Drosophila melanogaster: one gene and its partner. The protein of the gene in region 1 purifies or fractionates together with the protein of each later gene. This does not show direct contact. Each region holds a gene or a part of one and is shown on either strand. Other genes may lie near its edges.

What was found.
Region 2: the proteins of HtrA2 (region 1) and rho-7 purify together in Drosophila melanogaster (affinity purification with western blotting, with the first as the bait; one study listed by BioGRID). This does not show direct contact.

Annotation. Positions count from the first base shown.
Region 1 is NT_033777.3:14,508,271-14,513,590, forward strand, and holds HtrA2 (HTRA2-related serine protease), read right to left. Parts: upstream 3,443-5,320; 5' UTR 3,137-3,442; coding exon 2,549-3,136; intron 2,481-2,548; coding exon 1,966-2,480; intron 1,882-1,965; coding exon 1,716-1,881; 3' UTR 779-1,715; downstream 1-778. Other genes in the region: mRpL11 (mitochondrial ribosomal protein L11), read left to right, coding at 3,654-3,788, 3,849-4,133, 4,194-4,364; CG8461 (uncharacterized protein), read right to left, coding at 4,427-4,557, 4,613-5,150, 5,212-5,277.
Region 2 is NT_033778.4:11,985,704-11,990,606, forward strand, and holds rho-7 (rhomboid-7), read right to left. Parts: upstream 3,085-4,903; 5' UTR 2,967-3,084; coding exon 2,920-2,966; intron 2,861-2,919; coding exon 2,659-2,860; intron 2,594-2,658; coding exon 2,299-2,593; intron 1,951-2,298; exon of another isoform or gene 1,799-1,950; coding exon 1,578-1,798; exon of another isoform or gene 1,524-1,577; coding exon 1,324-1,523; exon of another isoform or gene 1,260-1,323; coding exon 1,169-1,259; 3' UTR 1,012-1,168; downstream 1-1,011. Other genes in the region: CG34231 (uncharacterized protein), read left to right, coding at 368-460, 560-704, 758-1,011; CG8298 (uncharacterized protein), read left to right, coding at 3,547-3,624, 3,679-3,807, 3,864-4,903.

The DNA of each region.
Region 1 (5,320 bases):
TAAACCAGCGACTAAATTTCTCACAGGTTTGTAATTTAAGCGCCCCACAACAACTGGCGACTACAACATATATCTACATATCCGTACCCACGACGACGGCAAACTGCGGGATCACCACAAACTAATTGCAAGGCTTAAATGCGATACTTTTATGCATTTTAAATATTTCAATTAGTCGGCGCACAGAGTGCAGACGGCACTGGGAATGAGATTGAAAACTAAAAACCGAAACCGAAATGGAAATGGAAATGGAAACGAATGCCCGGCAAGCAAGCGGCTGAAATGGCAGAAAGAAAGTGCAAAAAGCGTGGGGCGCCAGTGAATGAAGTAAAAAGTGTTTACACGATCGCAAAAGCGAGGTCCGTTTGCTTAACCCCTTGCCGAGTGAATATTGGCAAATTTATGAACTTTAAGCTGCATTTATGCGTGCGGCTTATAAGCAATAAAGGTAACTTAGTGCCAACAATGTCATAAAGGCCGCTGTCACATAAACAACAACGGCAATGCCAGCAACAATGGTCAGTCCGGCGGAATCAATATATGAATTTATATGCAAAAGCCAAAAAAGCGTAGCATCGCCAAAAGCGAAAACAAAATTAATAATCACAAGAATTTCACTTTTCACGCAACGACAGCAACAGCAACAGCAGCAGCAGCAGCGGCAACAACATCATCATTGGCAACGTCTGCCTTGTCACCCACAAATAAACCGAAGCCAAACCAATCTGAGCTCAGCTATGTGAGGTTTGAATACCCTTTTTTTTAAATGTGTACAAAGATTGTTTCGGATACAAATTCCATTTAATGCATTTCAACTATTAGGTCATATTTTAGGTTTGTTTTGTTTATGCACATAACATGTAGATTTGAGAAGACTCATTTCAATTACACATTCATGTTTGTTTCGATGAAATAGGGTTAACATCATAAACTACGACTGAATATTTTTGTCTGAATATGCAATGTGATTCAACTAGACAATACATTTTAAAGGTTCAGTTTCATAAAATAATTATTAATAATAATTTGCAATAAGTTCGCTATTCGACCATTGAACTTCTCAGCACCCAAAAAATAGAATTTTTCATTTTGTAAAATATACCTAACGTACCCCTATCGAGGGTATTGAACAGCTGGCCAAGTGAAGCGCTGGGAATACAGTTGCATAAATTTATTGAAATTTGCATTTCGCTTTTCGACGTTTTTTGCGTCTGATGTTGCTGCTGCATTTTTTGCACTGCCGAGGTTTGGCCTATAAAAAATATGGCATCGATTGATCGCAACGCAAGATATTTCAATTAGCGTAAATATATTTTTGTCGTTGTTGGAAGAGGACAAACGGACGGACGGACGGACGGACGGTCAGACAGACGGATGGTAGGGGACACGCACAGCGCTCCATGAAAGAGAAATCGATGATGTTCGGAAACGGACAGACGACCCAATCGACCCAGTCGGAGATACATTTTCGTGCCGTCCGATGCGTAGATTAACTTATGGTCGTGCCGCTGTTAATAATGGCCACTGATAACGAGCCCGCGATCTATGCAAATTTCCCTACTCGTTAGCCAGAGACAAATATAGGCAGGCGCACCCGATTAGGAATAGGAGCGTGTGGGGGGTGGGTTTGTCAGCGATTTCTTCCCAGGATCGGTAGGTTTTGTTTAGATATATAAATATATACAATTGGGTACAGGTGCTGCATACAGGTTAAACTAGGGATCTTCTGGCGTAATGGTCACGTGCATCTGCTTCACACCTCGCAGGATCACTATATCTAGAGTTTTACTATTATCCGCCAGGGCATCGTAGACATCCGATGAGTTCTTGATCTCCTTCTTGTTTATGTGGGTCACTATGTCTCCGGGTTGGAGTCCACCACTAAAAAGGAGGTAGAGCAAAAAAGCACGTTGTAATGGAAAATGCTGGTTGATTGATAGGTTAACCACTTAGGTATTGACCCACCTGTGCGCCGGTGACCCAACGATAACCTTCCACACGAGCACGCCGTGCGTTAAGTTGCTGGGCATGTTTTGGCTTCGTGACTTGAGCTCGAACAGAATATCCGGTGTGAGCGTCAGCATGGTGATGCCCATGTACCGCTTCACCGGATAGCCAGTCTTGTAGGCCGAGCCCTTCTTTCGTTTCTCGGCCGCCCGCTCCAGAAACACCTTTACATAGTCAATGGGTATTGCGAAGCTAATGCCAGCCGTCACCTTCATCGAGTTAACTCCAATAGCCTCGCCATCCAGATTGACCAAGGGACCGCCGGAGTTGCCAAACGTAATCGCAGCATCCGTTTGCAGGTAGTTGATATCCCTGTTTCGAAGGCCAAGTTCTTGAGATGCACGCTGCGTTGAACTGATTACGCCTGCTGTCACCGTATTGCTTAGGGCCAGCGGACTGCCTAAGGCCACAACCCACTCGCCGGATCGCAGGGTACTGCTCTTGCCTAGCCGCATCACCGAAAGATTGTTCACCTGTAAGATTGGATTTAAAGATATGCATATAGAACTTGCGCTGCTTAGAAATTCAACTGTACGCTTACCTGTATGCGCAAAGTCGCCAGATCGGATGTCTGATCCACGTCCTCGATGGTGGCGGGAAAAGTCCTGCCATCGGATAGCCTCACCTGTACCATTGTGTGTGGTTTGTTGATCACCACATGGGCGTTGGTAAGGATGAGACCGTTCTGCTCAATAATGAAGCCGGAACCATTCGATGCCGTAATCGGTTGGCCGCTGAAGTAGTCAAAGTGGCGGGTGTCCTTAATCTCAATGTAGACCACCGAATCCGCACAACCTGCCACCACATCAGCTATAAAGTTGAAGTCCCGCCGACGACCGGTCATTTTGGAAGCGGCGATCGTTGGCGTTAAGTCTTCCCGCTGTATGATCGCCGCACTGACCACAGCGCCCAGGGAGAAGGGCACAAAGAATCGAACCAATCGTCTCCAGCCTTTTTCTTTTTGTTCACCATTTTGCTGATATTGCCCACTGTTACCATTGCTGTTTGGATCGCCTTCTTTGATCGCTAGTTGACTGCTCCTCCGATTGGCTGCATGACTGTGTAACACCGGGGAGGCAATGCAGCGTTTGAAGATCACTTCCAAGCGGTGGGAACCGCGCAAAGCCATGGGTTTATGTGATTACACGGCGTTTGTTATTGTTATTTAATTTATCACTTCTCAGCTGGCAGCTGATTTCAATTTGGCACTCTGCCACAAAAGCTGCCTGCTGCGACACCCTCGACTACCGATAGGCGATAGGCAATGCAAACAGCTGTTGGCCGCGATGCTTCTTCTTCGCATCAGGGGTGGCTAATCGTCTGCTTATCACGGGAATTTGGCTATTGTACATTTAGCTATAATTCAAAGGGCTTTTAAAATTTTAGCTGCTTTCATAGTATTGTATATAGTATTTTTAAAAGCCTGCTATTGTGCAAATGACATTTGGATCTTTTAAACCATCATCTCATGTTTAATGTTGCTAAAGACCACATTCGGAAGTATGTTTTTAGCTATTCAGCTATACGTTCCAACTAGAAACGACAGCAATACCATCAGCTGTTGCTGCTTCTTCTTCCTTCCACCAACACATTTCGCTTTGCATAACAGTTTGAATCAATTGTTTAGTTAAAATAAATCAATTAAAATGTCGAAGGCAGCGGGTAAGCTGAAATCGCTAAAGAAGACGGTGGAACGTGTGACGCACACGAGCAAACTGAAGACGAATATACCTGCGGGAATGGCTGCTGCAGGTCCGCCATTGGGACCGATGTTGGGACAGGTGAGTTAGCCGGCTTTAAAACTAAAATATGTATATAATTTTGTTTTTAACCACACACAGAGAGCGATTAATATCGCCGCTTTCTGCAAGGACTTTAATGCCAAGACCGCGGAAATGAAAGAGGGCGTACCGCTGCCGTGCAGAATTTCCGTAAACAGCGATCGCAGCTACGACTTGGCCATCCACCATCCGCCGGCCACATTTTTCCTGAAGCAAGCGGCGGGCATACAAAGGGGCACCATGACTCCTGGCAAGGAGGTTGCCGGCATGATCACTCTCAAGCATTTGTACGAGATTGCAGCTATTAAGATTCAGGACCCGCCCAATGTACTTCTTACCATGCAGGTCGGTATTCCGAAAAGTTTGAGATATAACTTCGACTCAAGTTTATGCCTTGTCTCTTAGCAAATGTGTGAGATGCTCATCAGCATTGCTCGGACCTGTGGCATCAAAGTGGTCAGGGAAATAGATCCGGCGGCCTATGGCGAGTTCCTGGAGGAGCGCAAGTTAATTGTGGAACAGCAACGGCGCGAGTTGCAGGAGAAGCGGGAAGCAAAGATGTTGCGCACGGGCTAGATTTGCTTATTTGCACTGTGCTTTTAATTGTTTAAAATACATTTATACTTAAAGCGTAAGTCTTATTCTATACCAATGCGTTTGCGGTCCTTGGCGGCGTTCTTCTTGCGTCGCTTTTCCATGTGCTTGTTGAGTTTTCCAGTGTTTTTCAGCTTCTCGAATTGGGCAACTAGTTCCTTAGCTCGACGCTCCTCTGTCGGAAAAAAAAACAAATTAAAATTTGATTTCGCTGTCGATCAGAAACGTACTCTTTGTCAGATAATGAGGTTGTTGTCCCAAATCGTGTTTCTTCTGAATGGCGGAGCGCTCCTTTTTCAGTTGCTTCTGTTTGGTGTGCCACTTCTTGTCCTCCACATTTTTATTGATAAGTCGCTGCATGGTGTCCTTTATATGGTGCTTCTCCGCCTCATCCTCCACTTCGTCCAGTTTTTTCTTCAGCTGACCAACTTCCTTTGCTCGAATCTGGGAGACAAACTGGTAGTTCTTCTTGAAGGTTTCTGCACTATATGTTCCGGATTTTTCGTCAAATCTTGGATCTCTGAGTTCAACATTTTTTTTCCGCTCCACTCTGTGCTCGGCGCCCAAAAATGGAACCTGTCGTCTGGTGGTCATTTCACGAGGTCGGTTTTTGTTTAGCCGCTTGAGGTCGGTTTTGGCCTTTGGTTTTTGGGGTCTAGAACTCTTGCTACCGAGCACAGCCTCTTTGTACACCTTGGCGCCCAGCTCCTCTTTTAGTTTCATTATCTCCTCGAATGACATTCCTTTGAGATCTTCGCGAATGGCATTCTAAAACGAAGTTCTCGCATATGTAGTAAACCATATTTCTGTATAGTTGTATTACTTGTACCTGAGTTTCGTTGTCATCGCTAGCCTCGTGCTCAGAAGCTGAAGAGGATTCACTGGGAGAGGACATTTTTGTTTTAGTTTTCGTTTAAAATTTTATTTATTTACTTTTT
Region 2 (4,903 bases), on another chromosome or scaffold:
CCCTAGACTAATCCAGAAAACAGCTGATGAAACGCCACTTAATTAGTTTTGAGTGAAAAAATTTGGTCCTCTTGCTACAATTAGATAAAAAATCAAGGTGAAACAAAGTTAAAATTTTTTTCCAAGGACATTGACTTAAAATTAATTTTTTTTTTGGAAATCTCGAATTATTTGGAAATGCAACAGGTGCTAACATACTCAATTCAACAACTTTGAATGAATTCCATTACAGCGAATCATGTAAATAACAGTACAATAACATAACAGCTGGCTGTTGATATTTATCGATAAGTACGTTTAATCGTGGACTTGAAAATAATAATAAACAAATCCGTTTAGTTGTAGTTTTGTTTTTAATATCCTGAATATGGAAGCCTCTTCTTCTGAACACCACAAACGTCTGGAATACTGCACTACAAGATTGAAATACCGTCAGGGCCGCGAATTGAAAGCTGTCAAGGTGGGGAAATAGTAATGTTTAGTAGTAATAGTTTAGTAATAGCTTTATAGTAATAGCAATGTTTTATTGTACTTTTATTGTGTTTTTTATCCTTTGTAGGTTTATACAGTTGCTAGTGAGTCCCGTCATTTGCTGATCTTTGGGGTACCTAAAATAAATCTTCAAGCTAATCTCAGGACGAAACTACAAGGATTTGGTAAAGTGCAATCATGTATTTCGGTAACTTCAGAGATGGCTTCAAAAAGTATGATTATCCCTGTTCAAGATCTTTTTTATATAGTGTTCCTTTTGTTTCAGTGGATCTGGAAGCTTTTACAGATGTGTTTGCCGTGAAGTTCGAGCGCCTTGAGGTGGCGAGAAGAGCCAAGAAAATGCTCGATGCTCATCAGTTCTATGGTGGAATCTTGCACATATCATACGCTCCAGAACGAGAATCCCTTGAGGAACTTAGGGAGAAGATTCAGCAGCGCAGGCACGAAGTAGCTTTTCGTATTCGAAGAAATCAGAAGGATCAAACACAAGTTCCAAAAAAGAGCCGGGAAACCACATGAGTACAGGATGTCAACGATTTATTCAACTTAACTGATTTCAATGAACTTCTAAGGCAGAACGATGTCACTCTTATTGACACAGCGTAGTGCTACTCGCTACCGCTCTATTGCCTCAGCTCCCCGTCCGTTCACTTGGCGAATCCCCAAGCCTCCTGTACTATTTCTGCTTCGTCCGGCGCAGGTCATGGTAGTAATTCAGTAGACCAATGCGCTTTGCCCATATCTGTGCCCCATACGTGGCCCAAAAGCTGTAAATTACCGTAGGATTAATAAGACAACCTGTGATGGTATAAACATACACGCCAAACTTACATGCCAAACATGGCGCCGCCCAAATGCGCTGCGTGATCGAAGAACTTCCAGCCCATCACGACGCCAGCAAAGTCGATGCCCATTAGCACTTTAATACCAGCTCCAGCGGAGAATGTCAACGCGGGTAGAAAGAGAATGCTAAGTTGTGTGTCCGGATACTGGGTGCATACATAGGCCAGCAGTGTCATTATAGCTCCAGACTAAGGGAAGAGCTTTAAGTTTATAGATACTACGTGGAATAAAGGCTGTCTTACCGCACCCAGGGACATCCCCGCCTGACTCGTGGCCGCCTTGTAGAGCACGCTCATCAGACTGGAGAAGACGCCGGCGCTGAGGTAGACCGCTAAGAATTGCTCTTTACCCAACGATACAGCCGCAGCGTTGGCAAAGCTGTGCATCACGTACATATTGGCGAAAAGGTGCATAGCCGAGTAATGGCTGAATGTGGACAGGAACATGGGCCAGCAGACGACTTCTGCGAGAAGGGTATCAAACACAATTAGTTAGGGGGGTTGTAAAAAACAAATATCATAAAATACTACAAAGTAAAAAATAGTTTATAAGTCCAAAACTTTTTGAACTTAACATTTGAACATTTGTTATTCAGGTAAAACCAAAAGTTTACATAAAAAAGATGGAAAATAACAAGCTGACATAACTAGAAGAAATTCGACCACTTTCTTATATAACCATAAATAACATGGATTTCCGGTCGACTACTATTCGTCTAATACTTTTCACGTGTAATGTATTTAATTATTTTTTTAGGCGATTTTAATAATTGAATGCATCTTATCTGATACATTGCGATAATGGCCAAAAAATGCATAACCAAGATAACTTTATACTTCTATTTTTTGTGATTAAAAAGGCAATCAAATCCATTTTGGCATACTGCCTAGAAGTACGTAATTTCGCAAGATCTGGGCGTTGTGATATCACTTTTTCGGTTTCATATTGGATTTTAGCACTTACTCGCCGCTGGATTGGATGTGAAGTAGGTAATCATTGTGGATTTCAGAGCGGGCACCCGCCACATGGCGAAGGCCACCAAATTGCAGAGTAAGATAGGAGCAAACATCTTGTCGCCGGGTGTCAGTGAGTCCCAGTGCCGCCGGATGTCTTGTTTGATCTGTGTCCAGTAATCCCTGTCCGCCAGCGAACGACTCTGCCACCAACCGAATCTCGCCTGGCGAGCCTTTTCTAGGATTAGGCTACGTGTGTTCTCGTACTCCAGGATGGTGGCACCCGCAAAGCAGCCGACCGTAAACTACAAGCGTGAATCAGGGACTATATGAGATCCCCGTACAAGTGCTGGTCATGATTAAATCTTACTGCTCCCGTGAAGGCCACCGCCTTGATCACATTGTTCACCGGCACCGGGGTGTTCTGCTCCGCTGCCGCAGGCTCCCCAGTCGTCGGCTTCAGGTTGCTGCTCTGTTTTCGGTTGCTGTGAATCTGCCGACATGACCTCGCCGCCGGATGACCAGAGTTTATCCGCAGGATTGGCACATTCACATTAGCATGACATCTGCGGCTGTAAGTTTACGTGGGGTTACTCCGGATACGGAACTCCGTCACCGCCTGCTTACTTACGCCACCTGGGGTAGCCAGCTCCGGCAAAGCGCTCGACTCATGAGCATAGTAGTACGGATCTGTGCCAATTTAGCATGAAATATGGAAAATTTGTTTCTATTTTGCTTTCTGGAGAGAAGGGCCCGGAAAAGTATAGGTGTGACCAGATTGTGCAAAGCCAAAAATGCCAGTCTTACAGGGTGTTCTTAGAGTTGCCTGAAGTGTGACAAATGTCTTTATTCATAAATTAATAGATAAATCAAAGCTTTAACATCAAAGATATTACATCTATTCCAGGCATTTATAATAAGCCATATTAAATATAAGCTCTTTTAAATCAATTTTTAAATTAGTAAATTGCAAGTTTTACATAATAAAGGGTATTTGAAGCGTCGAATTTATTGTAATACCTAGGCCCACGGTCAGATTAATTACTCTCGATCGGAATTGTACTCCAACCTGTGGTTAGCGTATTCGCTAAGAAATCGATAGCTAGCATCGATTTTCGATGAAAAAATGAATTTTTACATCACTAGACAATTGGCGTTCCAAAAAGCGACAACAACAAAACACGACTTGCTTATTTTGCTCGGCTAGCGAGCCTTAACACCATTAAGCACGTGTCCGTGGACACCCATCAGGCCAAAGATGTCCAACGGTCGTTACGGGAGATTCGGAGCACTCATCGGCGTCGCCTGCGTGAGCAGCACCCACTGCCGCTTTCTGGTGAGAAGGTCCTAAAGCCGAAAACGGCCGCTGACTCAGATTCTATTTTCATAGATATACTCAACGAAAAATGCCGAGGTCCTGGCCTACCATGAGCTGAAGCTGCGACAGATTGTCCACCAGGCGGGCTGGATGGAGTACGATCCGTCGGAGATATGGAAGAACACACAGGAGTGCATAGAGGTTGTTAATCGCCGGGTTATATCATCATGCGGCAACTAATCTGACTACATTTGCAGACCGCCTATAAGAACCTGGTTATACTAGAGATCAATCCACGTGATATTATTGCCATCGGTATCGTAAATCAGCGGGGCACCTCGGTGTTATGGAATTTGGAGACGGGACAGCCACTGCACAATGCCATCGGATGGTCAGATTGCCGTAGCACTCCCATCCTAAAGACCCTGCTCCATAATGTCCGGCACAATGTGGACTACGTGAGGTATCGCAGTGGCTTGCCCCTGAGCAGCTGTTTCAGTGCCCTAAAGATCCGTTGGCTAATGGATCACGTTCCTGCCGTAGCCACTGCCATTGAGGAGAACAAGTGCTTATTCGGCACCTTGGACTCCTGGCTTCTGTGGAACCTAACCGGCGGCGTTGAGATGGGTGTGCACTCTACTGACATTACCAATGCCCACTACACTTCCCTTATGAACGTGTCCACAGAGCAGTGGGATCCTAAACTCTGCCAGTTCTTTCGATTGCCCCTGAACATACTGCCACGCATACGATCCAACTCCGAAATCTTCGGCTATGTGCTGGAGGGTCCTTTGCATGGCACTCCCATAGCGGCCATGATGGGTGAGCAGCCCGCAAGTTTGTTGGGCCAACTCTGCGTGAAGGCCGGGCAAAATGTCTGTACCCTGGACGACAGCTGTTTCGTGCTCCTTAACACGGGCAGGGAGAAGCTGGACTCTGCAAACGGACTGATAACGGGCATAGCGCACAAGCTGGGCGAAAAAGCGGCCACTAACTACACACTCGAGGGAGCCATTTCAAATGCCGGTTCCACGGTTACATGGCTGCGGGATAAGCTACAGATCAATACTGAGATTAATTCCAATGATAATGTGGTGGAGTCTTTGAATACATTCATCGGCGAGAACTCGATGATCTCGTCCTCTTGTTCCTCATCCATGCTGAATGCCGAGTGTGGACTGGCAGCCAAGAGGTCGGAGATTACGTTTGTGCCGGCATTTCATGGCATGTACGCACCCTACTGGCGACACGATGCCAGGGGCATAATCTTGGGACTTACCAGCCAGACTACAGCGGA